Regions from separate parts of the Mus musculus genome. Here all the other regions are reported to be linked to region 2. The links are microRNA targets in miRTarBase. Many come from high-throughput screens and were not tested one by one. Region 2 holds a microRNA gene; each other region holds the end of a gene's coding sequence.

Evidence for each region. The annotated mature microRNA mmu-miR-376c-3p reads AACAUAGAGGAAAUUUCACGU and lies in region 2 at 2,924-2,944, opposite strand. An mRNA with a match to its seed (bases 2 to 7 or 8) in the 3' UTR can be bound and repressed. Matches are read on the target gene's strand: a 7mer-m8 pairs with bases 2 to 8, a 7mer-A1 pairs with bases 2 to 7 and ends in A, and an 8mer does both.
Region 1: miRTarBase lists Fzd3 as a target of mmu-miR-376c-3p. Seed matches in the 3' UTR shown: 7mer-m8 at 4,141-4,147 and 7mer-A1 at 897-903.
Region 3: miRTarBase lists Iars as a target of mmu-miR-376c-3p. Seed matches in the 3' UTR shown: 7mer-m8 at 2,300-2,306.
Region 4: miRTarBase lists Rs1 as a target of mmu-miR-376c-3p. Seed matches in the 3' UTR shown: 7mer-A1 at 3,845-3,851 and 7mer-A1 at 5,095-5,101.
Region 5: miRTarBase lists Sass6 as a target of mmu-miR-376c-3p. Seed matches in the 3' UTR shown: 7mer-A1 at 1,982-1,988.

What each region holds. Positions count from the first base shown.
Region 1 is chr14:65,198,292-65,204,629 of GRCm38, forward strand. It overlaps Fzd3 (frizzled class receptor 3), which reads right to left. Exons shown (of 7, transcript NM_021458.2): 7 at 1-4,641. The coding sequence ends at 4,428. Among named protein-coding and RNA genes, the nearest start is that of Gm30008, 26 kb to the left of the region's middle.
Region 2 is chr12:109,719,376-109,725,713 of GRCm38, reverse strand. Mir376c (microRNA 376c) reads right to left here and starts at 2,996; the gene lies at 2,911-2,996. It overlaps Mir654 (microRNA 654), which reads right to left and starts at 2,496; the gene lies at 2,413-2,496. It overlaps Mir376b (microRNA 376b), which reads right to left and starts at 2,256; the gene lies at 2,175-2,256. It overlaps Mir376a (microRNA 376a), which reads right to left and starts at 1,933; the gene lies at 1,866-1,933. It also overlaps Mir300 and Mir667.
Region 3 is chr13:49,731,520-49,737,857 of GRCm38, forward strand. Iars (isoleucine-tRNA synthetase) reads left to right here. Exons shown (of 34, transcript NM_172015.3): 32 at 1-42; 33 at 821-973; 34 at 2,140-2,748. The coding sequence ends at 2,222. Among named protein-coding and RNA genes, the nearest start is that of Gm23482, 21 kb to the left of the region's middle.
Region 4 is chrX:160,793,158-160,799,495 of GRCm38, forward strand. Rs1 (retinoschisis (X-linked, juvenile) 1 (human)) reads left to right here. Exons shown (of 6, transcript NM_011302.3): 6 at 1,362-6,338. The coding sequence ends at 1,514. All of the region lies in intron 18 of Cdkl5 (cyclin-dependent kinase-like 5), which reads right to left. Among named protein-coding and RNA genes, the nearest start is that of Rs1, 28 kb to the left of the region's middle.
Region 5 is chr3:116,627,328-116,633,665 of GRCm38, forward strand. It overlaps Sass6 (SAS-6 centriolar assembly protein), which reads left to right. Exons shown (of 17, transcript NM_028349.3): 16 at 1,191-1,285; 17 at 1,381-3,659. The coding sequence ends at 1,487. It overlaps Mfsd14a (major facilitator superfamily domain containing 14A), which reads right to left. Exons shown (of 12, transcript NM_008246.2): 12 at 3,837-5,153. The coding sequence ends at 4,947. Among named protein-coding and RNA genes, the nearest start is that of Trmt13, 16 kb to the left of the region's middle.

The sequences.
Region 1 (6,338 bases), not on the chromosome of region 2:
TCAAAAGTACTAATTCGATAGTGGTAATGAGTAGAATAATAGAACACTGAATATTTATAAATAAAAATTACTAATTTTTAATTATCTTTACCTTAAGATTTCTTAATCTTTATTTCTTTTTTGAGACAAGGTCTTCTATATAGTCCTAACTGCCCTGGAACTCACTATGAAGATCAGGATGACCTCACAAGAGATTCTCCTGCCTCGGCCTCCGGAGTGCTAAGATGTGTGTCACTACCCCTGGCAAATTTTAAACTTTTGAATTATTAGACAGTAGAAAACATTTTTAACTATGGGAAGTGGTGCTAATAAAACTAGAGTCAATTATAAACAATTCTACCATCCCCCCAAAAATCCCCGAAAAGGGCAAGATAGGTTTCTGGTGACTATTTAGGTAAAAAGGTAAATATAACTTATCATTCAACATAGTTAAATATATTGAACTTAATGCATTTTGTACTCCCTCGACCTTTGATCAAAATATTAGAGGAAACTTTAAAAAACCTTTAAAGCCAGACTTCCTAGTTAGAGAACACAGGGATAAACATACTTACTACTATGTGCTGACTATAAGTTAACTAAACTCCTATGTCTACTAAAATGGCGGTCTGAACAGACTTTTAATATTGTTTTTTCTCTCTCAGATTTGGATCTTGAAAGATAAGCATTATTCTGTATCAGTATAATTACTAAAGATAAATAGGATTAGAATTAGATTAGAGAAAGCAATTGTAGTCTAGCGCATGGGGAGGCATGCCTACTCTTCCTATGCCTGTCCCAGTACTCATGTGGCTGTAACAACAAAAAATGAAAAGGAAGGAAAGCCAGAAGAGATGTACAAATGCCAATGCATTTCCATATACAGTAATCAAATTTATGTAAATGTATATACATTATACATAGTTGAATTAAATGAACATTTTTCATATTTTGTATTTATGTGTGTGTGTTACAAGTGTGTTGGTGTCAGGAGGCCAGAAGGGAATGTTAGATCCCCAGAGCTGGAGCTACAGTAGGCACTGTGAGCACAAGGGAGGGAGGAACTGAACTTGGGTCCTTTGGAAGAGCAGCAGGTCCACTTACCCACTGACCTGTTTCTGCAATCCCAAGCTTTTCTCATCCTAGCTGTCACAAAAAGGCATAAAAGAAGCTTAAACGAATCCTGAGTTTACTTATGAACCTAGGTTCTATAAACCTCCTATCTCTTGCATCTTTTTTGTGTGAAACTGAAAAGATTCTTACTTTACACAGATTTTTAACAAATTCACAATGGGGGTGTGTGTGTATAAAAACAATTCTCATGGTCTGAGTGCCATGTAGTTAGCTAGTCGCTAAACATTTACTGGAAAGCTTACTCTGTACTAAGCCCTGTGCTAATTGTTATTCATCAACTGCTCTCTGAAACAAATTACTGTTTTGAGCTTAATACTGCCTTGGATCTTTTTGCCTAATTATTGAATAAAACCATATTGCTAAAATCAAAGTTCTTTTCAAAACCCTTTTAATAATATTAACATTTTAGAGGGCACTATCATTTTCTTGGTTGTCAATTGAACAAAGAAAACACTAAGTATTAACATATGCCAATCACAACAGAAATTAAAGTAACCTATATGGTAAGAAAACTGTCCAGACTTGTTCAAGACAAGTTAAACAGGTTAAGATTTGGAATTAACTGTTCTGCTGTCATTCTTCAATGGTTTCTTCAAAAAAAAAAAAAAAAAAAAAGATTCTTAAAACCTGGCGCAGTAACATGATAAAGAGCATGGCCCAAATTGAACAGCTACTTAAACCAAACAGTACTGTGCTGAGTGCACAGAACAAGTGAAGGATGGTACTTGGTGAAGGTGACTGTAAGGTTAACATTATCCATATACGCATCACCACTACCAAAGCAAGAGGAAATGCAACAACACACACAAACTCTGGAAGCACAAAGGTGAGACTTTCATGGCAATGCTCTCTTCACTGTCTACACTTGGCCCACTTTAAAAGACAACCAACTAGCACTTGGCAATAGGCAGTGATGCAGATGGTGGCAGATGACATCTTTGAGCTCACACTGGTCTCCTCTCTTCACTGCTGTTTGGTTTGTGGATGTTTGTTTTGGTTTGCTCATGCTGTTCCCGGAGCTTCTCTGACAGAAGCTTCATGAGTTATTGATCTGTTTATAGACAAGTTATCAGTTATAAGGGACTTTGGGCCTCTCCAAGTGGTAACCCCAGTTCCAAGGAGAAAGCTGGCAAGACAGAGGAAAGAGAAAGCATGTGGGGCCAAATGCTCACATGTGTCTTATGAAGAATGGGTAATCTCTACTGATGCATACTTCGGAGAAGCAACATGACAGAAGTAAGTCATGGCTACCAGGAAACTGGCTCTTCTGTCATGTGGGCACTCCTAGTTTTAAAGGGCGAGAGAAGCAGACACACGAATTAAACATGTGTCTAGAAATGTACTACAGTAGACCTCCAATAAAGCTCTTTAGTCCTCAAGAATCTTAATCCTGCACATTTCACAACACTTCAGTTTCAAAGAGCTTCCAGACTGTTGTTTTCATTTGATCTCAATTTGACAACTTTGTGAGGTAGGTAGAGGAGATATTCATCTTCAATCTTCATCTTTAAACAAGAGGAGCTAGGCTCACGGAGGCTGACTTGTTCAAAGTTGAAAACTAGCATATGGCAAAGCCAGACCTCTCCAGAGTCTAGGGTATATATATATATATTTTTTTTCTGGGTGTGATTCTTGGATAACCTGCTAAGACTCTTCTGTGGTATTTTTAGAAATACACATTTGTGAAATCCTACTGCCTTTGATTTATTGAGTAAGACTCTCTAGAGAGGAGAGCCGAGAATTCTGCATTTTATAGTGGATTAGAGCAGAGTAAGAAGCAACTGCATATCAGGAAACAATGTAAGTGTACTACTGAGTCTGGCTCCATCTTCCTGTGGTCAAATCTGATGCCATCAACCTATCTTTAGGGGAAAGTGAGCTTAAAAGAACAGCTTCAAGCCGGGCTACACTAACAATCACCTGAAAAGCTGGTTGTTTTTAAAGCATCAACTCAGACCTGACAGAAAGATGTTGGCTACTGAGAGTTCCAGAGTGATCTGTACCCGCAATCAGGGCTGAGGATCACTTATATTTTCTGAATCACATATTAGCATTTTCAAGAATTTTTCTTTCTGATCAATTTCATACAAATAAAGTTCACAGTTCATAACCTAAATCATTTAAGCTTTACAAAATAAAATGTCAAGAGGTTTTTACTTGATATTTTTAAGATTAAACGATATTCACAGAAAGAGTAACCATGCTCCACTTAGTTAAAATGATTTTCAAGAACCCAGGTCGATCACCATTTTGGACTTAAGAGTATATATTTCAGCTGTAAACCAGAGTAATTCAGAAAATAGGGATGTGGGCAAAAGCTGTAGCCAACTGGCTACTGGGGAATCTGGGGCAGACAATCAGCTCATTATAGGAGGGCCTGGGTACCAAGGTCTAATGGCTTTGGCAAGATCACATCTCACTGTAGAAAAATACGACAATGAATACACAGAAAATATTTTGCCATTTGTAACTTTTTTTTTTACCACTAAAACCCCTTATAATGTGTGATGCTTATTTTACTGCATGCCTCCACAGAACATATATGAACATGAAGTTGTCTACTATTTCCTGGGAAAAATGGCCACAAATTAAAATGTTTCTATCATGCATATGGATATTATAAAAGCATAGCCCATAAAAGTAATATTTACAAAACAAAACCCAATCCAATTACAGGGGAATGCTCATCTCTGCCTCTACTCCAGTGCTCATCCACAGCCTGCATATCTTGGGGGAAGACTGACAGACTTTGAGACAACCTCCCACAGGCCAACCAGATCTTCCATGGCACTGTTATCTTAGCTAAAATACTCTTGCTGGCTTATCAAAGTCTTCTACAGTTTAAAAACGGTTCCTTTTTTCACTCTGTGGAAATAAACCTACAAAGACCTAGTATTCATCTGAGAAATAAACCTTGCATAGAAATTTTCTTTAATTCTGAAACTTTGTTTTATTAACAGAGCTACCAGAATGTCATTTCACAACTAGTTCATATTATATGAAAATTCACTACAAAGCAGTCACCACACATAGAGGATTTTTCTAGATATAAAATAAGCATGTTTATAAAAATGCTCACCAGACAATCATCTCTTCACAGCCTAGAAAGAATTACTTTTGTGATGACATGATCCTTAGGGTTTGGGATGTGTTCACACCCCAGGGTTGATGTGATACAAAGAGCAAAGATCTACTTTCCCAGTGGGCACACTCTGCCCAAGAAAGCAGAGCGACAGTGAGTTACAGCAGCCAGCCATGCGAAGGCAAAAACTAAAACCTGCTTTTCAACAGCACACATTTCACCTTAGACAAGACTAAGCACTGGTTCCATCCTCCTCAATAACACGGTTCATGCTGGTGCCATGTGTAATGTGAGTCATGGGGTTGTTACTGAGGTCTCGGATGCTGCTGTGTCGGGACTGCTCGTTGAGCCGATGAGAACTACTGTGCCTGGAATGATCCGTCAGCCGTGACATGCTGCCGTGAGGTAGTCTCTCCTCCATTCCTCGGTAACTGCAGGGAGTGTACCTGCACAAGAGAGGTGGTTTTGAAGTGGGTAACAGAACATACCAGAAAATAGGACTAATAGTTTTCATTAAAATGCCTTAGTAACTGAAGTGCTCAGTAAATCAACAGTGAGAAGGCAGTAATTGACATGATTATTTAAAGTAATTCCATTACGCTGTAGAATTATCCAATGTGGCTAACAGAAAGATAATCCACTTAGGTCCAGGATGAAGGTCCTACTCCCTGCAAAAGGGCAAAAGGAAACCACGTAAGGCCGACCTACTTGGAACTATGTTAAGTATGGATACTTTCCTTACTCAAGTACGTTTCAAAAACACTGGGATCAGAGAGACGAGGAAGGGACTGAGGTCTCCCTTTAGACTCTCCAAGCTGAGGTAAAGCAGCAGCAGTGCAAATGTCAGTTTTACTAAAAGACTTGGGCTGGAGGAAGGAACACTCGAAACCAGAGGAGAATGAACTGCCACGCACTGATGACATCTGTGCCCATATTGTCTAGTTGAGCTAGTCAACAGCTCAATCAATCATCTGTAAGCGAGCTTAGTTATCTTCCTCAGGCTTACAGCTGTGCCCATACTAATTTACAGAAGTTACGTCTACTTGGCAGTTGCATCCTGATACTCTGTATCCAATTCTCTCCTAATTATGTGCACTCCTAGCTGGGCTTTGCACACATCAGCCGGGCTACACAGCTTACTACAGGTAGCCTTCCTATCCAGAAACACAACAGGGACTGTTCAAATTTTCTTTTGTTGAAATCCTGACTCACTGAGCCACATCAGAGGTAAGAATAGAAAAAAACCAATAGGCTAGAGAGATGGCTCGGCAGTTGAGAACATTTCCACTGGCTGTTTTCCAGAGGTCCTGAGTTCAATTCCCAGCAACCACATGGCGCCATAACCATCTATAATGAGATCTGGGGCACTCTCTTCTGGTGTGCAGGCATACATGCACGCAGAACATCATCACCATCATCAACATCATCATCATCATCCCTCAGCCATTGGAATAAAGAATTATTAGTTCTAGGCCAGTCAAGCTTAAGAAGACCAATTGCATCTTTTTTACTGGTCCACTTACAAAAGCTCACATGGTATTTGTCAATCTTTCTGGCTTAATAATGAGTTTTTCAAGGATAAGCACCATATTTTATTATTATTATTATTTTTAAGACTTATTATATGTGAGTACACTGTAGCTGTCCTCAGACACACCAAAGAGGGCATTCAGATCCCATTACAGATGGTTGTGAGCCACCATGTGGTTGCTGGGAATTGAACTCAGAACCTCTGGAAGAGCAACCAGTGCTCTTAACCATCTCTTCAGTCCCGTATTTTATCTTTCAATCTTTAGAACATTGAGAATTTTTTTCTAAAATACCTTTGCTCATACACATACTCTTTTGAAAAACATAATTTAGAATAATAAAAGCAAATGAGAACTGAGACTCTTCGATGACTTTAATGAGCGTGCTGCTTTTGTTTACAGCACAGGGGTAAGAGGTGCTGGGCTACAAGCCCTGCCTAGATATAATGTTTTAGGCAATGTTTCTAAAAGTAAGCAGGGCCAGGAATGCTTGTTAGGCCTACAATCCCAGCCCTCAGTGATGAGACAAGAGAATTGAGAACTCAAGGCAAGCCTGTCTCCACACCAAGGGCAAGGAATGGATGCAGTACATTTGTACACACTGGCCTAGATGT
Region 2 (6,338 bases):
GACTAATAGCTTAGCCAAAGGTCCCATCTTAGAACCAAGAATTGGTACATACCCGAGAAAGTCAGAAGTCACGTTGTATCAGGAGACCTGACCCAAAGATGGAACAGGGCTGGAGTAGTTCCCAGATAGAGTTAGATGTGAGGACAAGTGCCTCTTGCAGTCTATTACCATCAATAAAGAGAACATACCGGAGGCTATCCTCTTTACATGAACCAAGAGTTGGGCCAGGGAACAGTGAAGCACCTGTGAGCCTGGGCTGAGCACAGGGGCTGGTGAAGCAAGCCTCAGCTGGCTGGCTCTGGAATTGGCTGCATACTCTGCACACTGGTACCCAGCCCTAAAGTTAGTTTACTTCTCAGTATCACTCCAAAACAGGGTGATCTTCCAAAAGACTAGGGTGGGGCATGGGAGGATGGGCATGGGGTGGGGTGGGGGTGGGGATTCTGTGTAACTTAACAAAAAAGTGACAGAGAATGATTGGCATTCCAGAGCCTGCAAAGCCACCCTGGCAAGAAAGCCTCCACCTGTGCCCACAGCTGCAGCCTCCAGGAAGTCCTCCAGATGGTCATCGAAAGAGCAGGATTAGTACGCACAGCAACATGCATCATTCAAGAAAGAAGAAAAACCGGAAAACTAGCTCTCTGAAAGCCCCCACCCTCTTCCCCAAACTGGAGCAGTATGGAGACCTCTGGACCTTCCTTCTGCCCTTCTTGGGGAGTTCAGAGGACTATGGGAGACTTATCACTATAAACATCAGACCCATGCAAGGCTCACCGGAGGGAGGTGAGATGCCCCACCTCCACCCGACCCCCAGAACCAAGGTTCTTTAGACAACCTTAACATAAATTCATGCTGTGACACACAAGGTGAAGAGGACACCTGGAGAAGGAGGCTTAATGGTCTTGGTAGCCTCTGGGAGCATCTTTACTTTGGATATCCACCAACCCCCTTTCCCTTAAGTGGATGGGAAGCCTTAAAGGTGATTGTAAGGACAGGTTGGCAATGGTGGGCAGAAAACCCACATCTAAATGGGCACTGGCTTGCTGCTGACACTCTTTTGGCCTTAGAAGACGACCTGGCATGCACACCACACTGCGAAGGGCTGTCAGAAGGGGAGGCACAGTTTCCTAGGCTCTACCAAGAACAGCCCTTAGGATCAGCATTTTTTTCTAGAAAGTTCTCAGAAGCATGTGTGAGATCTGTAGGGTCAGACGAAGAAGGAGCTCAAGCTCGGTGGCCCACCATGCATTTACTTACCCTGGAGAGACCACACCCTTCTGCTAGGCCCAGGCCGCCGCCAGCCATGCTTCCAGGCAGCATTTGCTCCTCGAAGAGAGCTTGCCCTTGCATATTCATTTCGCGTAAAGCAAACACACAAAGGATAACCTCTCTTCAAGTAGCAAACGATAAGGAGCGCTGGGGAGAGCTGGTCCGGTGCGATGACAGATGCGATGACGGTCCGGATGTGAGCCTGAGGGGGCACATTTGGAGGTTACACTTCCAGATGATTCACATGCCCCCCCTTCTCCGCACACCCCCCAAAGGGTTACCCAAGGCGCCCTTACCCAAAATGATGGCCCACCCAGGAGCTCTCCAAGACATATCGCTACAGAAAAAAGAAGCCGACTCCAGAAAACATACACATGGTGAGCACACAGAGAAACAACTTCATTTGAGGTCAGAGAAGGGATATAAAGAACACAGTGGTCTCAGAACACATCACTGGGAGAGGCTGGCATATAGGCACACATCACACAAGTCACAAATCTATCTATCCCCGCCAAGCCCAGGAAGACGACGGATAGCACGCTTTCTTCGGTGAAGATGTCATGTCCTCGGTGGTTTCCCAAGCAGCATTTGATACTGAAAACGTGGATTTTCCTCTACGATTAGTCATTAATATTGTACTCATAGAAGGAGAATCTACCTTTTAAATATCAAAGAACAACTCGATCCAGGATGCTGTGAGCTTGTGCTTGTGTCGACAGAAATGGAAGTCCACTGGGCAGAGTGAGCAGGCTGCCCAAAGAGGCGGTATATCAGACCCAGATCAGACTAACACTCAGTTGGCTTCTTAAGGCCATTTCTGGCCACGCCCCACTCATTATTACATGATCTTCCCCCCCAGCCCCAGACCCTACAGAATCTTCCAGAAATAGTTCCAGAGCGACATTTGATACTGAAAAAGTGGATGTTCCTCTATGATTATCCAGGAAGCACGTAACCATAGAAGGAATATCCACCTTTTAAATACCAAAGAAGGACTGAGTTCCGGGAAGGACCAGGCTTGCTGCTTGGCTCATCTGAAACAGATTACAAGACAAAAAAAAAAAAAAAAATCCCCGCTTCTCAGGCAGAGGAAACAGAATGTTGAAAGGCGCCTCGGCCTCTGTGCCAAGCTGGCTCCACAGGCAGAGACCCAAAGGTGATGGTCAGCAGACATATGACATGAGAAACACACATGTTCTGCAGCTTACCATCTTCCCACTTACCGAGGAGGGCACTGCGCCCAGCCTCATCTCCCTGGTGGATCATGTCACCCAGGAAGCACATGAGACTCAAAACTCAGGCAAACCCATCAGATTGACCAGCAAACATAAAACCACAGAAGGGAAATCTACCTTTTAGATATCAGACTTAAACTCTTGGGACATCCAATAGGACAGTCCTATCTGCGACAGAAGGGACACAATGGGAAAGACTTGTTAGCTGTGGGGGATTCCAGAACGAGACCCCTGACCTCTGGCTGAGTTGGCAGCCCATGAGGGAAGCTCTCAAGATTGCTCATTGGCCCTTGGGCACCTGAGGACATGCTCTGTGGACCACTGACCCCCCACTTACCCAAGAGGGTGCACCTGTCCTGTCACTGCCCTGGTGGTGGCTTCAGCTCAGGCCCATTACCCAGCAGCATTTGACACTGAAAACGTGAAATTTCCTCTATGTTTAATCACAAAAAGCATAAACATAGAAGGAATATCCACCTTTTAAATACCAAAAGATTTAGTCCTGAAGAGAAAGAGCCGAGGCCTAATCCGTCAGAAATGAAGAAGGCAGCAGACAGGCGCCCTCGGCACAGCCCCCAGAGGACACAGATTCCAGGAACAACCTGGCTGTGGAAAGCACAGGCTGTGGAACCCATCTCTCCCTTTGTTCTCTGGGTGGGGGAAGACTGGAATAACCTGCTTTGTCCTAGGGGGCACTTTGTATTCAGAAACATCCCAGAACCACTTGAGATACTGAAAATGTGGGTGTTACCTCTATGATTAACCAGAGGCATAGAGGAGCACTCACCTTTTGAATATCAGAAAGTGAGCGACAGAAGTGTATCTAGAGCCCACCGTACAGTTAAACATAGCCCTGGTTGTCACACAGCCTAGTAGGGAGTTACTGTAAACCCCCACCCCCTCTTAGAGAGTTTATGACAAGAAATCTGTTCCCTTGTGATTTCCAAAACCAGTTCCACACCCATACAGCCCATCCTGGGTACCCTTGGGAGAGATGTCATCAAGGTGGCTGCTGGGGCATCCACGTAGGTGCCACGGAGCACTGGAGACATCAAGGAAGTTTTCTAGGAAATGGGCTAAGTCCAGAAGGCTCCAACACACAGGCTCAATGCATTAGTGTGACACTGTTGGGGATAGGTATAAAAGACACCTTGAGACATGGCTAAGCAGGACATTCATGACTTACTATCACCACACTACCAGGTCCTTACAAGATTAGCTCAAGTTCCTGTCCAATCTTTTTTGAGTACATCAGACACAGAGGCATACCAGTACCGACACTATAAATCTTTGGTTAAAAAAAAAAAAAAAAAAAAAAGCAAAGAAGGACTGAAAACCCCAACTCAGCTAATTAACTCCAACATCTTCGTCATCTTAGCCTTGAGGCCGAAGACAAGTAGGCCAGGTGATAGTCCCCACACATAGAACATATGCTCTGTGACCAGCCCTCCCATATATGTCCAAATAGTGGTGCTGTCATGGGTCATGTTTTAATAAAGTAGGAACTGGCCAGAGAGTTTCATAAAGCTGGGTAACCAAAGACAAGAGGACCCAAGGATGCTGAGGCCTCGCCCCAAAGAGCCAAGGCCCCTCCTTGTATCTACAGCTTGTTAAAGCAGAAAACCTCACAAACACCTTCAAGTGCATGGATAGGTCACTTACCAGTGGGCTACACCTGCTTCCTTTCATAGTGCCCTATGAGGCCAGGAGACCCTAGAAAGAAGCAGGACAGAATTCGTTAGGGGATCTGATAGCTGGTTACGGGAGCAAATGTGTTCATCTGTCCTGACCCTAGGAGCAGCAACGGCAAATGTAGCTGTGTGTGAACTGGGTCTGCTCTTTAGGAACAATGTCCAGCTACGTTTAGGTTCATGTGTGTGTGTGTGTGTGTGTGTGTGTGTGTGTGTGTGTGTGTGTGCGCGCGCGTGTGGTGGTGCCAGTATGCTTGCTTTGCCTATGTGTAGAGGTAGGAGATCAAGGTCTGTTGCCTTCTGTAGTCTCACTATCCATGCGTGCATGTGTATGCATGTGGGCACACCCAAGGAGGCAAGAAGAATACATCCCTAAAGCTAAACTTGTAGCCATCCAGTCTAGGTGCTGGGAACTGAACTATGGTCCTCTGCAAGAGCAACAGTTTTGAGCTGGTTATGGTAACATACCTTTGATGCCAGCGTTTGGAAGGCAGAGGCAAGCAGGAGTTCAAAGTCAGCCTCAGCTACCTAAGAAATTCAAAGGTATCCTGGGTTACAATGAAAACTTGCTACAAAAAAAATGTTATCGAAAATTGTTATATTAAATGAGTTATACAAAAAAATCAATATGGGTGCCACATATTCATAGAGATTCCCACCTTCATCTTGCTCTCATCATTTTTCATTTGATATTTGAGCTTGTCCGTTTGGTTAGATCCAGGCGAACCTGGGAAGGGCAGAGTATATTCTTTAAAATTCTCAAAATCTGAAATGCAGGCTAGACATGTTTTTGCTCAAATCTGTCAATCAATTAAGAAGGAAGCGATGTGATAGAAACTAGATTTTTATGTACAGATTTGCCTTGGGAAATTGGATTATAGGATGATTCATTCAATAAACTCTCAAGTCTCAAAATAAGAAAATAAATAAACAAAAGCACTTGCCATCTGGCCAGACATCTGCTCACATACCATCAGCAAGGGGCTGATGCCCACATCGTGTTCCTGAACCTGACACCGGGTACAGAGAGCCCTTCAAGGAGGGATTTTGTGCTCAAAAAGAGGTCAGCGTTTAATATCTTCCACGAACAAACACCATGATGTGGACACTGTCCCTTGGGGCCTCTTGGAACAGCTGCGGCAATCCTGCCCAGGCTTCTCCTGTGAAAAAGACAGCTGGTGAGGTATTGTGCCCAGAGAATATTCTACCCTCAAAGATGGAAGGCTCCCTCTGGGCCTATACGTACCTGGGATGTAGGGGTGAATAGCAGCCCTTAGAAGCCTGCCAATAAAGCACAAAGCTAAATGTGAAATGGAACTGAACAAGTCCGGTTACCTTGGGATGACCACCAGAGGCATTTCTGTCCAGGTGTCCTTTGCATTCCTTGGATGAATCCAAGACAAACTCCCCTCCAGAAGTTTGTGGGCCTAGGGGCCTTGGGCTGGGTGGCAGGTGTCACAGATATAATGTATGGCGTGCTCACTGCTCCACCAGCACCGAGGCCAGTACCCACTAGATGGAAAGGGATTTTCAACCTAAGAAAATGGGTTGACCATGCTTGTTCCATGCCCCTTAGCCTTTCTCCATGGGTATAAAGGGAGAGTTGCTGCTTTTCCAAAGGTGTTTCCATCTTTTATAGGCAGAAGCCAAAACACAGGTACAGCCACAGCCCAAGGGCATCACTGAGCCAGTAGAAACTAAGAGCTAAGTGTGTGGCTAATCCTGGTACCTCTTAGATGGAGTTTGCACTGGGTTTTGATGCGCTATGGTTGTTGAGCCACGTAAGTATAAACAAAGCTTTTATTCCAACTTGAGCAAAGAAAGAAATAGCTAGTATCCTAGCAAAGGGTTGCCTAAGAGTGATCCCATATCTTGTACTGGCTCAGCTTCGGAAACCCTCCAGGGGAGATGGATGGATGAGGTGTTCTCATACTCTCTGGATTGTATCCTCCCTCCCACTCTCACAAGAGAGCCACCAAAGGGCCCTGCTCAAACAACCACACTCAAAGGCAATTTTGATGCCATGAGGAGGCTACCAGAGAATGTTAGCCATAAAGAGAAGTTCACTAGGGAAAAGGGGTCTGAAGTGCCGCCTTACATCTACCACTCCAGAGGGCAGGGGTACCAGTATCAGAGATAAGAG
Region 3 (6,338 bases), not on the chromosome of region 2:
GTCAGTACCTCAACCTGCAGCTCCTGAACGCAGAGCCACAAGGTGAGCGCATCCTCTGCACTCTTCTCTTGGAGCGCTGGGCATCAGGCTCCTCCCAGGCTCAACTCCCTGACTTAGCCTCCAAATCTTCAAGTCAGCTTCAACATACAGACACCAGCCAGGCATGCTGTCGAAAGCTCACCTGCAATCCCAGCACTCGGGACGGAGGCCAGCCTGGGCTGTGAAGTGAGACCTCACCTCTCCACGTTAAAGAACAAACCATTGATTCCCGTGCTGCCTCAGGGCATACACTTGTTTTGTTTTCGTTGTTTTGGTTTTTTTGGTATGTTTATAGAAAGACCACCATCATTTTGGCAATCAGAAACAGAAATACCCTCGAAGGTGGAAATTACATCTACGTGAAGTGACATGCGTGAACTATTGATTAGGCAGTGTGAACTTAGGTTCTTTTCTTAGAATCTGTCCTGAAAAGTTGGACACCTCCAGGCTCGACCCACAGGCACCATTGCTGCCTTTCTTTCCCCACATTTCAGGGACCTCCTTGTGCACATTTCTGCTGGAATCCTTGTCTCTTCACCTGAGTGTGCACTGAAGATCGATTCCCCAGCAGCTGGCTGCCATGTGTCAGTTTCTCTCCGTCCCCCTCTTCCTCACCTCTATGAACTGTTTTAAGATTACCTCTGTACATCCTGTGCCTCCAGCTTAAGCTCCTGCACCCACTTCACAACCTTCCTCATTGCCGTTTGGTGCTGTCTACAGTCGCTGCTGGTGTTGGAACATGAGTCCTTGGGAATAACCCACTTTCTTCCTTTTTCCCTAGAGTGTTTAACAGGAACTGTGGGCACCCTCCTGCTTGAAAACCCACTCGGACAGAACGGCCTCACCCACCAAGGGCTTGTGCATGAAGCAGCCAAGGTGTTCGGACTGAGGAGCAGGAGGCTAAGGCTGTTCCTGAATGAGACTCAAACACAAGGTGAGGCGGCCGTGACGGTCTCTGAAAGGTGTCAGTGGTGCCAGTAGGTGGGGAAAAAGTTTTGAGTATTTGTCTTGTTTTGTTCATTTTTGCAGTTTCTTCAGAAGTTAACCATAATGTAGTTAAAAATAACAGTAACCTAACAGAGAAGTGTCGCTGAGCGTAGAGCGCCTGCCTAGCAAATTAAAGTGGGGATAAGATTTCATTTCTTTAGAAATAACCTGAACATTTACACTTCTAGGTAAAGTACTATATTTAATGATTTTAAATTTAAAAGCAGTCTCTTCAAGAGTCAACTCTGATTAGAAACGTTTAGCTGATAGTCCAGCTGATCCCATCTCTTTTCAGTCTAAGCATGCTGCATGCATTTCCCACAGAACACCCAAAGATCGTGAACAAGAGTTGACATGTTTCTCAATGCCTCTCTATTTCAGGCTGATCCCTCTTTCTTACTTTTGCTTCTTTCAGGGTTTCCCCTTGTCTCTGGTGCTCTGCAGTCTGACTATGCTATGCCTAGGTTTATTATATGTATGATGCGGGCATGGGGGGCGGTGTCTGTGTGCTGCCATCACCACTTCTAATGCCAACATAACCTCAGGCATTTCCTCAATCCACCCTCATATTCACAGACTCACTAACAGGCACCATACTCACAAACTGGTTATTATACCAACCAGAGCTAACCAGAGGACGAGCTGTGAAGGCAAAATGGGAGGTCACTAGGAATTCAAGCCATCCTTTCCTCGTGGAGGAATGGCCGCTGTTGCCTCCTCCCATCCCCGAGAGTGTAGTCACCAGGTATTACCTCCCAGGGAAGTTTGGTGCAACTTGGGACCCAGAACTTTGTTGAGGATTAATACGTAGGCTCAATTAATTCAATGCCTGCATGGTTGGTCTGTGTCTCAAAGGTTACCAACCAGTCCACACACTTCGCAGCTCCCTGCCCTCAGTCACCTCACTAACATAAGATAATATGTAATCAAAGCCGTACTGTAAGCAACAAAGACAAACCTATCAGGACGTGCCAAGAGTTGAGAGATTCCCCACTAAAAGCTAGGACAGAAGTCAAAGTGGCCTTAGAATGGGCCTCAAGATAGGCAGTTAACATTTTTTTATATGTTTACTCATATAGAATATTGACTTTTTGAAATTTTTCTCTCTTCTAGAAATTACAGAAGATATCCCAATGAAGACTTTGAATATGAAGACTGTATATGTTTCTGTCTTGCCAACAACTGCAGATGGCTAACAGCTATCAGTATGCCTTCAGTCAGTCTTCCTTGAATCTACCCATCTCCTTATACACACACTCACACACTCACACTCTCTATGTCTCTCTCTCTCTCTCTCTCTCTCTGTCTCTCTCTCACACACACATACACACACACACATGGGTTCAGTGAAGTTATCTCCTTGGGCACTTGTCAAATATGCTGCTTTTAACCGGCGATTCTAATGGGATTGACTGACTGGAGACCTCACATCATGTTCACATTTAACCTTAAACACCTATGCAGTCATGTTGGGGGAGTGTCCCAATGTTACCTCAACACCACGAAGCTTATTTCTATACTGGAGTTCTTCAGTATAGAAAGTGGAAGTGGTTTAAATGGCATAGTACATATACATATATATATGGCCTTGTAAAACAGATTTGAGACCTTGTGAAGAAATGGATATGTTATATATTTCTGCTACCTGGATTTTCCTGGGTAATTTGATGGAATATTTTACGTTTGATTAAATCAAAACAGTAAACACTCTCTTAGATACTGTGTTGGAAGTAGTTATTCTCCCATAGTTTAATGAAACTTGAAATCTGTAATCTTTGAAAGACTAAATTTAACCACGTCTACATATTAAGACATCGAATGAACATCGAATATTACCTCTTCCCAAAATTCTGGGTCCTCAAAGAAGCAGCTGCCAAGACAAAATGAGATGGTTGTACACTTTGTTATGGCAGTAGACATAAGTAATGGGTGTCAGCAGGAGCAGGTGTTACAGACTCCACACTCCCACAGTCGGACAGGGAGAAAGGGATCTGGGAAAGCCTGGGGTGCAGAGGAGCGTGGATCACAGCAGAGACAACCATTGCTAGAAAAGGAAGGAAGGAAGGAAGCGGGAACACTGGGCGTCTAGTGCTCAAAGGCTCCACTGTACAGAGCTGGGTCTTCATGCCAGCTCGCTCAGGACTTAGGGCTCATTTATAGCATGGACGTTTTTGTTTAACCTTATTTTAAGGGTGCTCTGGTGGAGTTCTTATAAGTACATGCGTTGCATGTCTAAGAAGTATCTGAAGTCTCCGCCCAGGGGTGTGTTTTGGTATTATAATGAGCCTCTGGACTAGGACAGCGGAGGGATTTAGTTTGCTTCTTGGGGTTTCCAGCCATCTTCTTTGGCAGTAGGTTTCTGATCGTTTTGTAACATTTGTGGGAGGCTTTCTTGCCTTCACTCTCCACTCTGCTTTCCTAACTCACAACTCTGTAACAGTCATTGCAAGCACAAAGTTATCAGGCAAAGATTTTATTTTTTTATTTTATTTTATTTTTTTTAGCATGTCAGTTTGAAGGACAGCCTGGTTTAGTGTCCCTGCCTCTCATAGTCAGTGTCTAGGAACAGCTTGAGGTTTATGGCCTTGGCACAGATGCCTCAGTGTATGTTACGGTGCGGTAGCTGAATGCTAGCAGCCAACTCATCAGATTCTTCAAAATGGATTCTTTGGAAAAGCCATCTGAGTGATGCAGGCCCACAGCCATCAAAACACCACAAACCCACCAATTGGACGAGATGGGAAACAACAACAGCTAAAATAGGGGAGAACTGAAAAACGGATGGGTGGGTGACTGAAGTGGTAGAAAAGTGGTGGAAAAGCTCAATTGTAAAAGCAACAAAGCAACGAAAACCTAAGCAATGTCCAGCTCAGAATCCTCAGCACCAGCCGAGAGACTGGGAGAACTGGTGAGTGGAGAAAGCTGGACGGCTTCATCTTCATGGTTTTAGACACGGGCTCCTTGTACGGCTGTGGCTCGTCTGGAGCTGCCTGCCTTGCAGCTCTCTATCACCAGTTGGCTTTTGGAGGTTCCTCCTCTAGAGAAGGCAAGTTTGGGTGTCTTTACTCACCAATTGTGTTATCTGTCACCTGGAGCCAGGATACATTCCTGGCACCAAAGCGTGACAGTATACGGAACATCGGCAGCCAGGAGCCACCACCTAAATAACGGGCACAACCAACTGCTGTTATGATTTATCTCAGTCTAGGTCAGCTGGTACTGCATGACCCCCAAAACTCCACATGACGATTTTTCTGGGGCTGGAGAAATGGCTCAGCGGTTAAGAAAAAGATCTTTCTGATGTGGTTCCCCACCTGCACACACAATTAAGACTACAAATTGGGTCAAGCCTAGCCATAAATCACATTAAAATTATGTAGTATGGCCAGGTGAGCAAACATTCCTAACTAGTATAATGTGTCAAAGGACACATTTCCCCTTTAAACTGGAAAGAGTAGCTTTGTACCATCCACTACCCCAGAGAACAAAAACATCTACACCAGAGGTTACCTTTAAAATCTCACTCTAGGCCAGCAAGATATAAGACTGATAGATTATCTAACTTTGATCCCTAGGACCAACATGGTAGAAGAGAAACTGACCCCTACAAGTTGCCGATGATTATCATATGTACATTGCTACAAATACACAAGAAGTTTGTGTGTTTAATTAAGGCTTGCTCTGAGAATCCTACAATTTAGGGTCAAAGTTTCAAGTGCCATTGGCACTGAATAGGAAATACCTGTACAGAGAAGCGGACAAGAATATCTTGTGGAGTGTGGAGGCATATTCCTTTAATCCCTGTACTCAGAGACAGACAAGTTTATAAATTCAAGGTCCTTAAGAGGTTGTACTATCTCCCTGGTGAGCACAAAACCAAAGCAACTTGAAACAGACAGGACAGTCTTTGGGCTTTCTGCCTTAACTCTTCCCTACACTAAGTAAATCATGGCTTCCGTCTGTCTAGGCCAAAGAGCCACTACAGCATGCTCTGGTGAAAAGCTACTGAAGGAGAAAACAGAACCTTACAAAGCCTGGACTTGGCACAGGTACAGCTGGACCAAACCTCTCCTAAGCCCAAGGCCTAATGCTGTCTTGACAGATAGGATCTCAACAAGCACCCCAAGGGATGGGACACAAACTTAGTCCATATCATCTCAAAGTAGCTTTATGGTTTCCCAGAGAGAATGTACCTGTACCTTGTCAAAAGAAATAAAAAACAAACAAAAACAAAAAATAAAAAACAAAAAGACTAAAGTTGAGCCTCTGCACTTGCAGGCGACCAGAGTTCAGTTCCGAGCGTTCTCATTGGTTAACTCCAAGGTCATCTCAGCACTTACTGGGCTCCTCGGGTACTCACAGAATACTTGCAAACACACAGATAAATCTTAGAAAGTTTACCAATATTGGGTGCCAACATTTAAAATGTTTTATATGCACTAAATTGTTTGTATGTTATTAAGTGTTCAAAAATTATATGAAATTTTGTATATGTAGAGGTTTTTCAAGGCTCTAGTGGTTTGGTGTCTCTACTTATATTGCTTTTCCTGATATTAGATAACAAATATCAGTCAAAATTCCATTTTTTTTTAAAAAGGTTAATATACTTCTTTATGTGTATGAGTTTTTGTCTGCCTGTCTGGGCACCACATATGTGCCTCGTGCCCACAGATGCCAGAAGAGGGCATTGGACTCTCTAGAACTGGAGTTAAAGACAGCTAGGAGCCACCACGTGGGTGCTGGGAAGCAAACTCAGGTCCTCTGGAACAGCAGCCAGGGTTCTTAACCATTGAACAATCTCTTCTGCCCCCAATTCTTTTTCTTTTTTGATTGCTAACTAGGTCAAATTTGATATATTCTAGGCTGTCAATTTTCAGGAGTGAATTCATATCACTTGATAAAATGTTATTAATAAGCATGTTTAGGGCATTTTTTTCGTCAAGTAAATGTAATTCAATTCCTAAACATCATGGTTGTAAACAGTCTTTTACTGCCACATGTATGTTCACTCACTTGCCTTAAACTTGTCTTTGTAAATGAACCACTGATCCTATTGTTGCTAAATTTTAATCAGAGTGAGCACTCCCATGTGTGGAATTTCCACATCTCTCATAGTGGCACACACCTTTAATCCCAGGACTTGGGAGGCAGAGGCAGGTGGATTCTCCTGTGAGTTTGAAGCCAGCCTTTATAGTGAGTTCCAGGACAGCTGGAACTACAAACTGAGACCTGTCTTGTGAGTGGGAGGAGGAAGAAAATGTCAATTTTTATCCAGGCACCTGAAGATTGAAACCTAGCAATTTAGATGTTCT
Region 4 (6,338 bases), not on the chromosome of region 2:
TGGCCTTTACTAGCTGTATTTTGCAAAAGACATTAGAATTCATTTTTCAGTCTTGTGCTTGGAAGGCCTTGATGGTGCTCTAGAGGAGGCACTCCACTCCATTCACAAAGTCTTGGGTCGGATTTCAGGAAGCCCCTCTTCACCTGCTTCCGAGTTGAATATACTCAAGGACAAACAGCATGAGAGGGCAGCTCATGCCTTGTTGCTAGGAAGAAAGGCAAAATGGATGTAAACAAGGCGCGCCTGTTTTGTGGATGGATAAAGCTAAGTGCAGCCATTAAATATTTTTAGGAGAAAGTTAGAGGAGGAAATGAAATGCTCTTATGTCACAGAGCAGAACACTGTGACCCTGGAAAGAGTGCGAAGAGTGATTTCTTCAGAACTACTGTCAAGTGTCTGCAACATCTTAACGTTGCCTCCTGAAAAACATTAAACCCTTTTATCTCTTTATGTCAACACCACCTTCTCCTTTCCAGAATTTTCCCTCTATTTTTTGTCTGTTTGTTAAAATCTATTTTCTCCAGGCCCAAAAGGCACTTGTCACTTGTATCAAAGACAAAAAAAAAAAAAAAATTACACATTTATGCGTTGGCTTCCAACTCCATAGCCAGGCACAAGATTTGACTTGAGTGCATCTTGGATATCTTTGGGATATATGAACTCTCTTGTATGCTGTGGCCCCATTCAAAACTTTCTGTCAAAGTACAAGGGATAGAAATGGAAAATTGTTAAAAAAAAAAAAAGAAAGAAAAGTCAAGAGGCATATTGTAGCAACCATCCAATAGGGCTATCTGTGAGGACGGAAAGCAGCTAATGAGTAACTTTAAATGTGAGCTGGGCATGTGGTTCTGTGGGAGACTGGTTGCTTAGCACATACGAGGACATGGCAACACACACATACACACAGAAACACACACACACACACACAGGTAAACTAAATTTTCAGCTACTATTACTTCACATAAATTTAACTGGGCACACATGGCTACTTGCTACCATTTTGCATAGTGCAATGTCCCCATGCATACTCAGACATCCTCAGAGCTGCTTGCAACATCCATTCGGGTTTTATGGGGTGCTGCAAGCTTTCTGTACTCAATATACTTTCTATGTTTTTCCATTGTTCAAAATTGAGGCTAGATCAAGTTAGATAGCGCTCAACAGGTAAAGATACTTTCCACCAAGCATGGTATCCTGAGTTCAAGGCCCAGAACTCACATGGTAGGAGAGAAAACACACACACACACACACACACACACACACACACACACACACACACACACACCTAGCTCTAGTCAGAAGTCATTTGTCCTTTTCCTTCCTCTATTGTGATAATGACTAGGCTTCCTCTTTCTCTTTAGGTCTTCTATGGAAACTCAGACCGGAGTTCTACAGTTCAGAACTTACTCAGGCCCCCCATCATTTCCCGCTTCATCCGACTGATCCCTCTAGGCTGGCATGTCCGAATTGCCATCCGGATGGAGCTGCTTGAGTGTGCCAGCAAGTGTGCCTGATGTCTATTTCAGCTCAGTTCTGTCACTTGCAGGGAGAGCTTTGGGGGGAGGGCACCCTGAAATACCACTGGGATGAATGGGGCTATATCTTATAAGCACTTTACAATGTAGATCTGGGTAGAGAATATTTCACTTTTTAAAAGATAGTTTCAAATTTCAAAGGGAGAGAGAGAGAGAGAGAGAGAGAGAGAGAGAGAGAGAGAGAAGCTTTTAAGCTTTTCTTCAACTCAGGGCCAAAGAAAATAAGAACAAAGAAAGTATCTCTCAAACCAATTTTCTTACACAAACCCAAATAGCAGGGGTAATTTGCTGCTCTGGCTCCCCATCTTTTTCTCTTTGTCTCAGTGACACCGTCAAAGGTGCAGGCCCAGGGGAACACAAAGCAGCTCTGATAATTTGAAAATTCTTTTTGGCTCTTAGCACATTCAGAAGAGGAGCGTACTCTTTGGCAAAGCCTCACATGAACACTTGCATGAAATCCTCACTATAGAGGCCTGGTGACAAGTACATAGGTGTGAAGAAAGCAGAAGGAAGCCTGGCGTATGGCCCACGAGTCTGGAGCCAGTAACCAACCAACCAACTAACCAACTAACCAACCAGTCAAGGCTTCCCCCTCCCTGGAATTGCTTTTGCCTGGAAGGGGTGGAGCTCCTTGTGCAGAAACTCCATTCTACAGCCCTTTTGGCAATGTGTCCTTCTGTGATTGCCTGGAGATGAATGCAAGGGGCAGGCTATATGTGTGTGTGGATAGTGAGGTTTCCCTTAAACTGAGGAAGCCCAAATAACTAGAATACATCACACCTTCTTTATCCATGGCTACAGTTTCCCAGAAATTGAACAGGCTTAGAAAACAGCTGAGATAAACCATATCTCTATCTACTGGGAAGAGATCATGCTTTGGGGGAAGGGGTTAGGACTCCTATCATAGAGGACTGTACACAGATGATCTGTCAGTAAAGGGCTTGCTGTACAGCATAGGAACTTGAGATTATATTTCTAGAATGCATGTAAAAAGCTAGGTATGGACAGGTATGGTGGAACATGCCATTAGTCTTAGTATTTGGAAGACAGAGGCAAGCAGATCTGAGTTCAGGGCCAGCCTGGTCTACATAGCAGTTCCAAGCTAGCCAAGGCTACACAGTAAGGCCCTGTTTCAAGAAAAAAAGACCAGGCATGGAGGGGCACACCTGCAAATCCAGGACTAGGAGGCAGGCAGAGACAGGATGATGCCTAGAGCTTGTCTGCCAATCAGTACACTCCAGGTTCATGGTCAGACCCTGTCTCAAAACTAAAGTGAAGAGCTATTGAGGAAGATACCAGATGTCAACCTCTGTCCAACATGCACACATACACATACACTGGTAGGTTTCAAACCTGGGGCAAATGGCAGAGGTGCCTAGTTAAGGTTCTCCCAGCATCTCTCAGCCCCTACCAGGTCCTCCTAGTTGGCATACCCCGCCCCCTACCCCGAAACTCTTCAGCCCAGGGGGTTGGGCTTCTTCCCTATATAATCCAACTATTTTGGTCACCCTTTCTCTTTGTACCTTTGGGCCTCCTGGTTGCTGCATCTGGTTCCTCTGTTCTCCCTTATCTCTTTTCCTCCCTCCTCTCCTCACAAGGCCCAGCTTAGAGTGTTCATGTCTATTCTGGACTCTCTCCCGGATGCCCCTGCCTCTGGCTATGCTCTCCCACATATCTACCATAAACTCTCTCCTCTACCATACCTAGGACAAGTCATGTTCCTTTCCTTTTCCTTTTTGTTTCCCATTCAAACATGTAAATAGGAAAAACAAAATACAACAACAACAAACAAAAATAAAACCACAAAAGCCTTCTCTCCGAGCGGCTTCCTCCCGTCCTGCCCACCCAAACATGCTTACTCAGACATGACATTTGAAACTTCTTTCGGTAGTCATTCTCTGGCAGGAATAGCTCATTTAATCAGGAGCTTTGGAGCCTGAGAGAATGACTACTGGTCTCTAGCTCATTTCCATCTGTAGCTCAAGCTGGGTTTGAGGCTCTTCTCTGGGAGAGGCTGTTAACTGGAGTGAGGGTCAAAAAGGCATGCGGGGAGAAGCTGAGAATGAGAACTGCCCAGAGACAAGGTCTTGGCCTCACACACACACAATACAGCCTTGGTTAGTACTTTTCTCTGAGCTATTTTCTATTTCCAGGTATTAAAGGAGATTACATGGATTCACACCAAAATAACTTTGGATGGCCAGACATGGTATCTTCCATCTTTAATCCTAGCACTGGGAAAACACAGACAGGTGGATCTCTGTGAGTTCAAGGCCAGGTTTGCATAGCAAGCTCCAGACCAGCCAAGGCTATGTAGTGAGACTGTCTCAAAAATCAATCCATCAATCAAATGATCTTGGATGTCACATTCTTCTCAGTGAATAGAACAACATTTTAATAGCATCAAATTTCCTACCTAGTATTTTGGAGTTCCACAGGTGTGTGTGTATGTGTGGCAATGTACAACAATATTCCTGGTATGACTACATATGTACAAATTCATTTTGGATAATATTCCTGACAGCAGACCTTTATTTGGAAAATTGAGTTACCTTTCTCACCACACTGAGTAATTGTTAGAGAAAAATGGCAATAACTTAAGAATACTGATCAGGGAGAAAAAAACCCAAATGGTACAAGGCATGGGTAAATAGTCATCAAATTAAAAAATCATGCCATAAATTTGTTTTCTAATAGTTTCATTAACTTCACATAAACAGTCCTAATTCATTTAAGGTGTGTAATTCAATATAGTATATTCAAACTTGAACAATCATCACTACAAGTAACTTTAGACTATTCTTATCACCCCCAAGAGAATCCTCTAACAATGGGCCATCAGCCACCACAGCTCTAGATTACTCGTCATCCATTTTCTATTTGTGTGTGGATTTTTTTTCCATTCTGGGCATTTCTCCACACAAATGGAATCTTAGAATATATAGTAGTTTATGACTTGTTTCTTGTACTTATCATAGTGTTTTTAAAGTCCATGTGTTGGAGAAGTACATCCTCCTTTTTTGTTATTAACATTCTGTGTAGGGTATTGTATTATTATTTATCCATGCATTTGGGTGGGGCTAGTATGAATAATGCTGCTTCATGAAAATTTATATGTAAGTTATTGCGTGGACATGTTTTATCTTGGGCATACTCACACTGAGAATAGAGAATTGTTGGGTCTCTTGGGAACTATTTCTCCAGGTGGCTGTACCATCTTCTGTTCCCACCAGCAATGTCTAATGCTTCCAGCCTCTCATCTTTAGCAATGCTTCTTGTATTTCATTAGATCTGTCCTAGTATGTATGAAGTAGCATTCGATGATGAATTTGATTTGCATTTCTCTAATAACCAATGTTTTTTGAGCATCTTTTCAAGTCACCAGTGACATATTTTTGGAGAAAGTTCTATTCAGACCCTTGCCCATATAAAGATTTCATTTCACGGATTCATTAAGAGTTCTTTGGGTGTTCTACATACAATTCTCTTATGCAAACATTTCTTCCATCCTGTTTTTCTTCTTGTCATTGTCTTGGTTTAGTTTTGCACCAGGATTTCACTATGTAGCTCAGGCTGGCCTGGAACTTGCAAAGATCCTTCTGTCTCTGCCTCCCAGGTTCTGAGATTCTGGGTATTTGCCACCACACCTGGCCTTTCTCTGAAGCACAACAAATACCAAATTTTAATGAAGTCCAACCTTCCGGTTTCCTTTTTTGGTGTATTATCTGAGAAACTACTGTCAAACCATGGTCAAGAAGATTCACTCTTGTGTTTTCTTCTAAATGTTTTGAAAAAAAATTTTTAAAAAGTTTTAAAGTTTTAACTCTTACTTTGTGAACAGTTATAAAGTAAGGGTGTAATTTCATTCTTTGGATATCAATATGCAGCTGTCTTGGTAGCTTGTGTTGTCTTCACCACAGTCAATGGTCTTTATTCTTCCAAAAACAACTGACCAAGAATATTAGAGTATATGCTAGGCCTCATAATTCTATTACCACATAGTCTTCATTACTGTAGCATTGTAGTGAGTTGTGGAATTAGGACATATAAATCTTCCAATTCTGGTTATGTTTCAAGACTGAACTAACTATTCTGGGTTCCTTAAACTTCTAAGTAAGTATATCTGTAAATAAGCCAGCCAGGGGTCTCACAATGGAAAATGTTTTCAATTTCAAAATTAAATAAACAATGAGATATTAAGATCTGCAAGATATTTATCTGTAGTTAATTTTCTTTCAATAGTTAATGAAAATGTTAGCATTTTCTTCCTTTTGTGTTAGGATATATATATAAAAGAAACCCTATTATTAAAGTAAACCTGAAAAAGAATCTTCCTATTAAACAAAAAATATGTTTGCAATATTATTTCTTTTAGGGGGCAACTAATTCAATAAAGATTATATAATGGAGGAAAGTCATTCCTATCTTAACACATTTTGTTTATTTTTACCACTAGACTTTGGGTTATTAAGGATTTTATTTTTTATGGTTTTGAGGACATAACCCAGGTTTTTCATACATGGTAGGCAAATACTCTTCAATTGAGTTCTCTCTGCAGCCTGCAGATCAAAACAAAACAAAACATTATGGTAAAGCATAACAATTTACATACTTTTAGTTAACTGTGAAGCATTAAATAATGATATTAAGAAAAAAATGGAAGTAATCCTGGTAGTTGATGTGGGAGGTTATATAGTGTGGTGGTTTGGATATGCTTGGCCTATTAGGAGGTGTGGCTTTGTTGGAGTAGGTGTGGCCTTGTTGGAAGAAGTACATCATTGTGGGAGTGGGCTTTGACACCCT
Region 5 (6,338 bases), not on the chromosome of region 2:
TGAAGTTAGAGGACTGTAAGCTGTCGTGTGAGTGCTAGGAACCCAACCCAGGCAGGCCTTCCTTCTCAAGGACTGCAAGTGTTGATGCTGCAGCATTTTTGTAGCACTTTAAAAGCCACATTAGAAAATGCTGGCAGTGTTTGAAAGCCTTGTATTTATCTATGACTGCCATTCTTGTTGAGAGCGGGTCTGACTCTGTGTCGCTGGCTGTCTTGAAACTCAGTGTGTAGACCAAGATGGCCTCAGACTCAAGAGAAATTGCTTGGCTCTGCCTCAAGTGCTGGGATTAAAGGTGTGCGCCACCAAGCCCAGCTTATCTAAGATATTTTATGTTGAAAATTTAGATTTTTAGCTTTGAAAAAGTGATTTCTCTTATGTGGTTTTAAGTTATAGGACTCCGCCCCCCTAGATAATATAGTAAAAGATTGTCTTATAAGTAAAGACTGCTTTTACAAGTATTTGGATCGGTACATAGAAGTCCCTTTTAAAGCTAGGCATGGTGGCACACACTTTTAATTCCACCATTCAAGTGGCAGAGACAGGTAGTTTTCTGTAAGTACAAAAGCCAAGGCTCCACTGGGAGACCCTGTCTCAGAGAGGGCTGCAGACATGGTTCAGTGGTGCTCCTCCAGAGGACCTGGGTTGGATTTCCACACCCATATGGCTGCTCACAAGCTCTGTAACTCATCTTCTGGCATCCATGTGCAGACATATATGCAGGCAAAACACCCACACACGTTAAAATAAACAAACATACGTGCAGTTTTTTAATGGTACTCTCAAATCAGTTATGTATTTTTCCTGTCACGTTACGTATGCCTTTGTTCTAATACGGTATGTTGTGGTATGTTGTATTGACTCCAATAAACTCAAGATAATATTCTCAGTATATAACTTGCTTTCTTTTGTATTTTCTCATCTCCTCATCTTTGCTGTGATATATATAATCTTACAGTACTCATAGAATTTATTCTTCTTGTAGTCTTTGTCCCAGTTTTAGTATGATGTTTGACCTTCACCAAGGGAGGACACAGGTATGGAGTTGTTCAGGCATCATATGATCACTTAGGTGGTCAAAAAATGTTGTACTAAGGTATTTTAGAACATTTTGATTTCTTGTCAACTAGGAACACTCAACAGAGAAAATGAACAATAAAGTGAAAATTAAGACGAAAATTATTTTTTTTAAGTGGTGAAACTTTAGGATTGGAATCCAAATACTTGAAGAGAAGAGAAGCTAGCATTCCTTTACGCGGACTTAGCCAGAATCTGTTGAGTGACTCAGGTGAGGAGACCTGTGACTGAGTGAGTGGAGTGGTACAGTGTGGATCATTACATGTGCTTAAAGCAGTGACATGCTACGTGCTTTGTCTCTTGCAGACCATCAGAAAGACGGCATGCTGGGAGCGTTCCAGCTATCTTCCAAACCCACCGTTCTCCCCTCCTCGTCTTCAGCCTACTTCCCTGGGCAGTTACCAAGTAGTTAATCCAACACCTTTTACTGCTCACCGACAGTTTAGGAATTCAAGTGATTTAACAGACTATTGATAACAAAATCAATTTTTTTCTGGTTCCTGTTAGGTCATTTGGATCCTTTATAATACTGCTGCCATTTACAAATTTAGGAAATTGATAAGGATGCTGAGTAAATGGTATTTTTTTTTCTGTGAACAAAACAGAATGTTTCAAAAAGTCACTGGATTGTATCAGATTCTTACCAGTTGGTCTGCTTAGGGACACTTTATCAAGATACACCTGCAGGGAATATAAACTGAAGACTTGTGATTCATTCGATCATTTTTATTGTAAAAAAAAAAAAATCTTAATCTGCCACCTGAGAGCTGGGAGAGCTTCCACCTGTGACCATTGAGCCTTACATTGACTTTACATTCAGTTCTCATACAACTTTCAAAGTTTTTTTTTTTTTTTTTTTTTTGAGACAGGGTCTATTATTATGTAGTTCAAGCTGTCCTGGAACTGGCTATGTATGTAGACCAGGCTGGCCTCAAACCCAGATCCACCTGCCTCTGTGTCCCAAGACCTAGGACTAAAGCTGTGTACCCACCAAGCCTGAGTTACACAATATATTTGGTTTATAATTTCTCCTCCCAGATGGTCTCCAGTTTCCTACCCACCCAATTTTATGTTCTTTCTCCCTTAAAAAAGAAAATAAAAATAACCAATCAGTAAGATAAAAATATCAAACCAGCCGGGCAGTGGTGGCGCACGCCTTTAATCCCAGCACTCGGGAGGCAGAGGCAGGCGGATTTCTGAGTTGGAGGCCAGCCTGGTCTACAGAGTGAGTTCCAGGACAGCCAGGGCTGTACAGAGAGACCCTGTCTCGAACCCCCTTCCCCCCCCCCAAAAAAAAAATCAAACCCAAAACAGTGTATTCGACCTTGTGCTAGTCAAGTCCTGGGTATGGGCATTTGGAGTTTGGTTGATGTACCTAGTGACACTCTTAAGGATTTTGAGTGAAATTAAGTATTCATAGTGAGTAAATCATTTTCTCTGAAATAATTTTTATATAAAAATCATTGGGACAGTGTATTTACATGACTGAAGTGCTTTAGTCATCTGGGCATTCCATAAAGATCATCAGTGTAATAACACCATAAAAGTTCATGGGACTTTTTATAATATTAAAATTTGTCATCAGTGTTAATAAAGCAGGAGGAGAGTTAACTATTGGAAATTACAACTTCCTCACTATTAAAAACTTCCAAGAACTATTCCTTTGAAATTAAGTAGTTTTAAAAAACAAAATGAAACAAAAAACCAAAAACAACCCTCTATAATCTTAGAGGTCTAATTTTGTTTTCTTGTTGACAACCACCCAAAGGAAATTAAAATTCCAAGACCCCAAAAATCTTATCTGTAAAATGTTAACAATCATGTGATATTTTAAGTTTCAAGGGGCTGAAGAGATGGCTTAGTGATGATCGGCACTAGCTACTCTTTTCAGAGGATGTGGGTTCTAATCCCAGCACCCACATGACAGCTCACAATTTTGTCACCCAGAGTGCATCAGGCATGCATGTGGTTTCTAGGCAAAACATTTATACACATTTTTTTTCAAGTACTTTACACTGTTGCAGACATTTTGAGACAGTGACGTAGAATCTTTAGCCTCACTTTCAGGATGATGGCTATTGCTAGCTGTCTTCAACGAGGGCTGTTATCACAGTTCAGTGATGGGAAGAATATTGCTATAACTACTTGAAAGCACTTATTCTGGAAAGAAGTCTCTCTATGCAGCACAGGACTGTTGTAAATACTATAGAATAAACCTAAGAGCTATGGCAGCCTTTGGAAAGGGATACAAGACATATATAGCTTTTTAGAAGAGATACCCTCCCCTTACTATTTATAAACCTGTTTCCACGATAGGACAGCTCATTTCCACGCAGGGTGTTGGTGACCTGTCTCTGTGCTAAGTGTCCACACACACAGATAGCGCCAACTCTCTGCTCTACCTCTTCTGCTTTTGTCTGAAATTGTTTTGTGTTGTATAACTGTACATGTGTTAACCATCAGAATGTTGCTTTTTGCTATTTCTGAAAGCTGTGACCTTTGTCAATAAAGCACTGAGGCTTGAGCGTTTTATATGCAAGAAGCATGTTTAGGAAATAAAAGACTAACTGTGCTTAGGAAATCAAGCATTTCCGGTTGACCTACACACTTCGTTATTTTTATCTTCAGGCTTTTTGTTTTGTTTTTGGTGAGGTGAGGTGAGGGCAGCAAATGGATTGCAGAAGGTAAGTTAAGGTAAGAGGATTTGTTACTGTAACAAAGCCTAAACCGGCCTTACAGGGAGGGACTCACAGATCAAGACCTTTTTAAAAAGAAAAAAATCATTAAAATATTTAATTTTATTAACAGAATATTTACATTTGAGACCTTATTTAATCATAGTGAATGCTCCAAGTTTAAAAAGCATTAGGCAGTAACCACACACAAGATGAAAACAGTGTAAACTATACAATACTTTATGTACATTTTTACAAAGTAACACTTTTTTAAATAATATAACTGGACACAAAAATATACACTTTAGAGAAATTCACATCAGTAATTGTATAAAGCTCTCTTCTAGGGTCCTGAAAATTTAGGACAAACATTAGCTCTGTAAATAAAGTGTTACTGTGACAGTCCTGAAAGGCCACTATATATATTTATCTACATATAGATATCACATTGACATTTTCAAGGCTACCAGCTTTACTATATAATTTTTAGATTATGTATTCAAGTGTTGAGGTCCTTATGATTATGCAAATATCAAAAGAATAGTGGTATAAGAAGCAGAACAGATTTAAACAGATTGAGCCAGATGGCTAGGCTCTGACCACCCCAATTTGAATTCTAAGTGGCTGATCTTTTCATTCTTCAGAACAGCCGTGAATAATGCTTTAAATAAAATTATGGCAAACAAGCTTGAAACATGATTCTGGTTTTCTACAATTTTCACAAGTTCTTTTAAATGCAAACAATTCTTTACCATTTCTTTTCTAGTGCATCTGCATTAAGGCTTTGAATTATTTGACCCAAGATTTTACAATGACTCAGGTTTTACAAGGTTAAAGCAAACAGGTCCATAACCATCCTGCCTAGTGTCGCTGAGTCAGCACGAGCAGGTAAAGGCTCAACACCTAAGGAAATGGCAGAGACGGAGTTACAGATAGAGCTTTAATTAAAGATGTGTAATAAAACAGTTTAGTGGCAAGAGAGTGGTGCTAATATAAACAAAAGGTTTCTTTTTGAAAGAAAGTGTAACATCTTTGGAAAACTGTCCGGTTCTTTCTTTAGTTCCCACGGAGTTCATGCAAGTATTTCTTAAGACAGTCTTAAAGTACACTGCAGATGGAAATGGAATGTACATCCAGAGCTACAGGTGAAAACTAAGACCTGGGTGCTGCGAGAGAGAGAAGTCTTCCTGATTTCCGTCACACATTCGTGTCCTGGAGTAAAGGTTCTTTGGCCTCTCCTGGCGCTTGTGTACTGTGAGGATGGCTGTGACTGCCACAGTGCTTCCTCCAACTGCTGGACCTTAAACTTAAATTAGTGTGTTCCGGAATAAACAAGGCAACGAGCAGAGCCAGCAGTACCGAACAGGCTCCAAAGAGGAAAGGGGGACCAGGGATGATGGAATTCTGAGGAAGAAACAATAGTTAATGTTTTTTGCACAAATACTCCCCCCAGCCCCCGTCCCCAGCCTCCAATGTCTCAGCAACTGTCTGCTCAGATTTTCTTTTTTTTTTTTTAAAGTCAATGCCTTTATTGAAGCAATAGCTATAAAATCACTTTTCAGGAGAAAAGGTATTTTTATTCTTATTGTAAAATCCTGCCAACAAAAAAATGGCAAAGTGGGCTGGAAAGATAGTTCAGTGGTTAAGAGCGCTGACTGCTCTTCCAGAGGTCCTGAGTTCAATTACAGGCAACCACATGGTGGCTAACAACCATCTGTAATGGGATCTGATGCCCTCTTCTGGTGTGTCTGAGGACAACAATGTGTACTCAAACCTTTAAAAACAAAAATCAAAAACTGGCAAAGTAACTTGGATAACTGTGGGTGGCTTTTAGCACAGAGCCTAAACTACACATGTTAATAATACACCTGTAGAATCGTGTTTCAAAAATAAATACAATGCCACTAACCACAAAAATAAAACATTTTAGCCCAAATCATATTCATTGTGGGCAAAACCCTACAGAAACCCTGTTTCTGTTGTATATGGCCCACAAAATTAAATAGGCTTGCCTGGGGTTCAATTCTTGCTTAATCGAGAAAACTGCAGAGATGTTAGTATTGGCTCAGTGGTCCATGTGGTTTGGGGTTGGTAATTTCAGTTGGGAAATAAAGCAAGCAAGTCAACAAATGTCCACCGTGCGTACATTCCATGTGGCCATAGATGGCAGCTGCCCAGCACTCCAGAAGTCAGAAGGAAAGAAAGTAGCAGGGTGGAATGGAGATGTGGCTGCCATGCCATTAGGCACAAATTGACAAAATGTGGTTTCAGGTGATTTTTTCATTTTAGTTTTTGCAAGATGATACTCGGGAAGAATAGTCTCTTAGGCTTTAGTTATTTTTTTTTTTAAGATTTATTCATTATTATATGTAAGTACTGTAGCTATCTTCAGATACCCCAAAAAAGAGGGTATCAGATCTCATTACAGATGGTTGTAAGCCACTGTGGTTGCTGGGAATTGAACTCAGGACCTTCGGAAGAGCAGTCAGTGCTCTTAACCACTGAGCCACCTCTCCAGCCCCAGGCTTTAGTTTTTAAGATTACTTAAGGCCTATTCATGCTAGAAAGTTTTACACAAAAGCTTTTGTT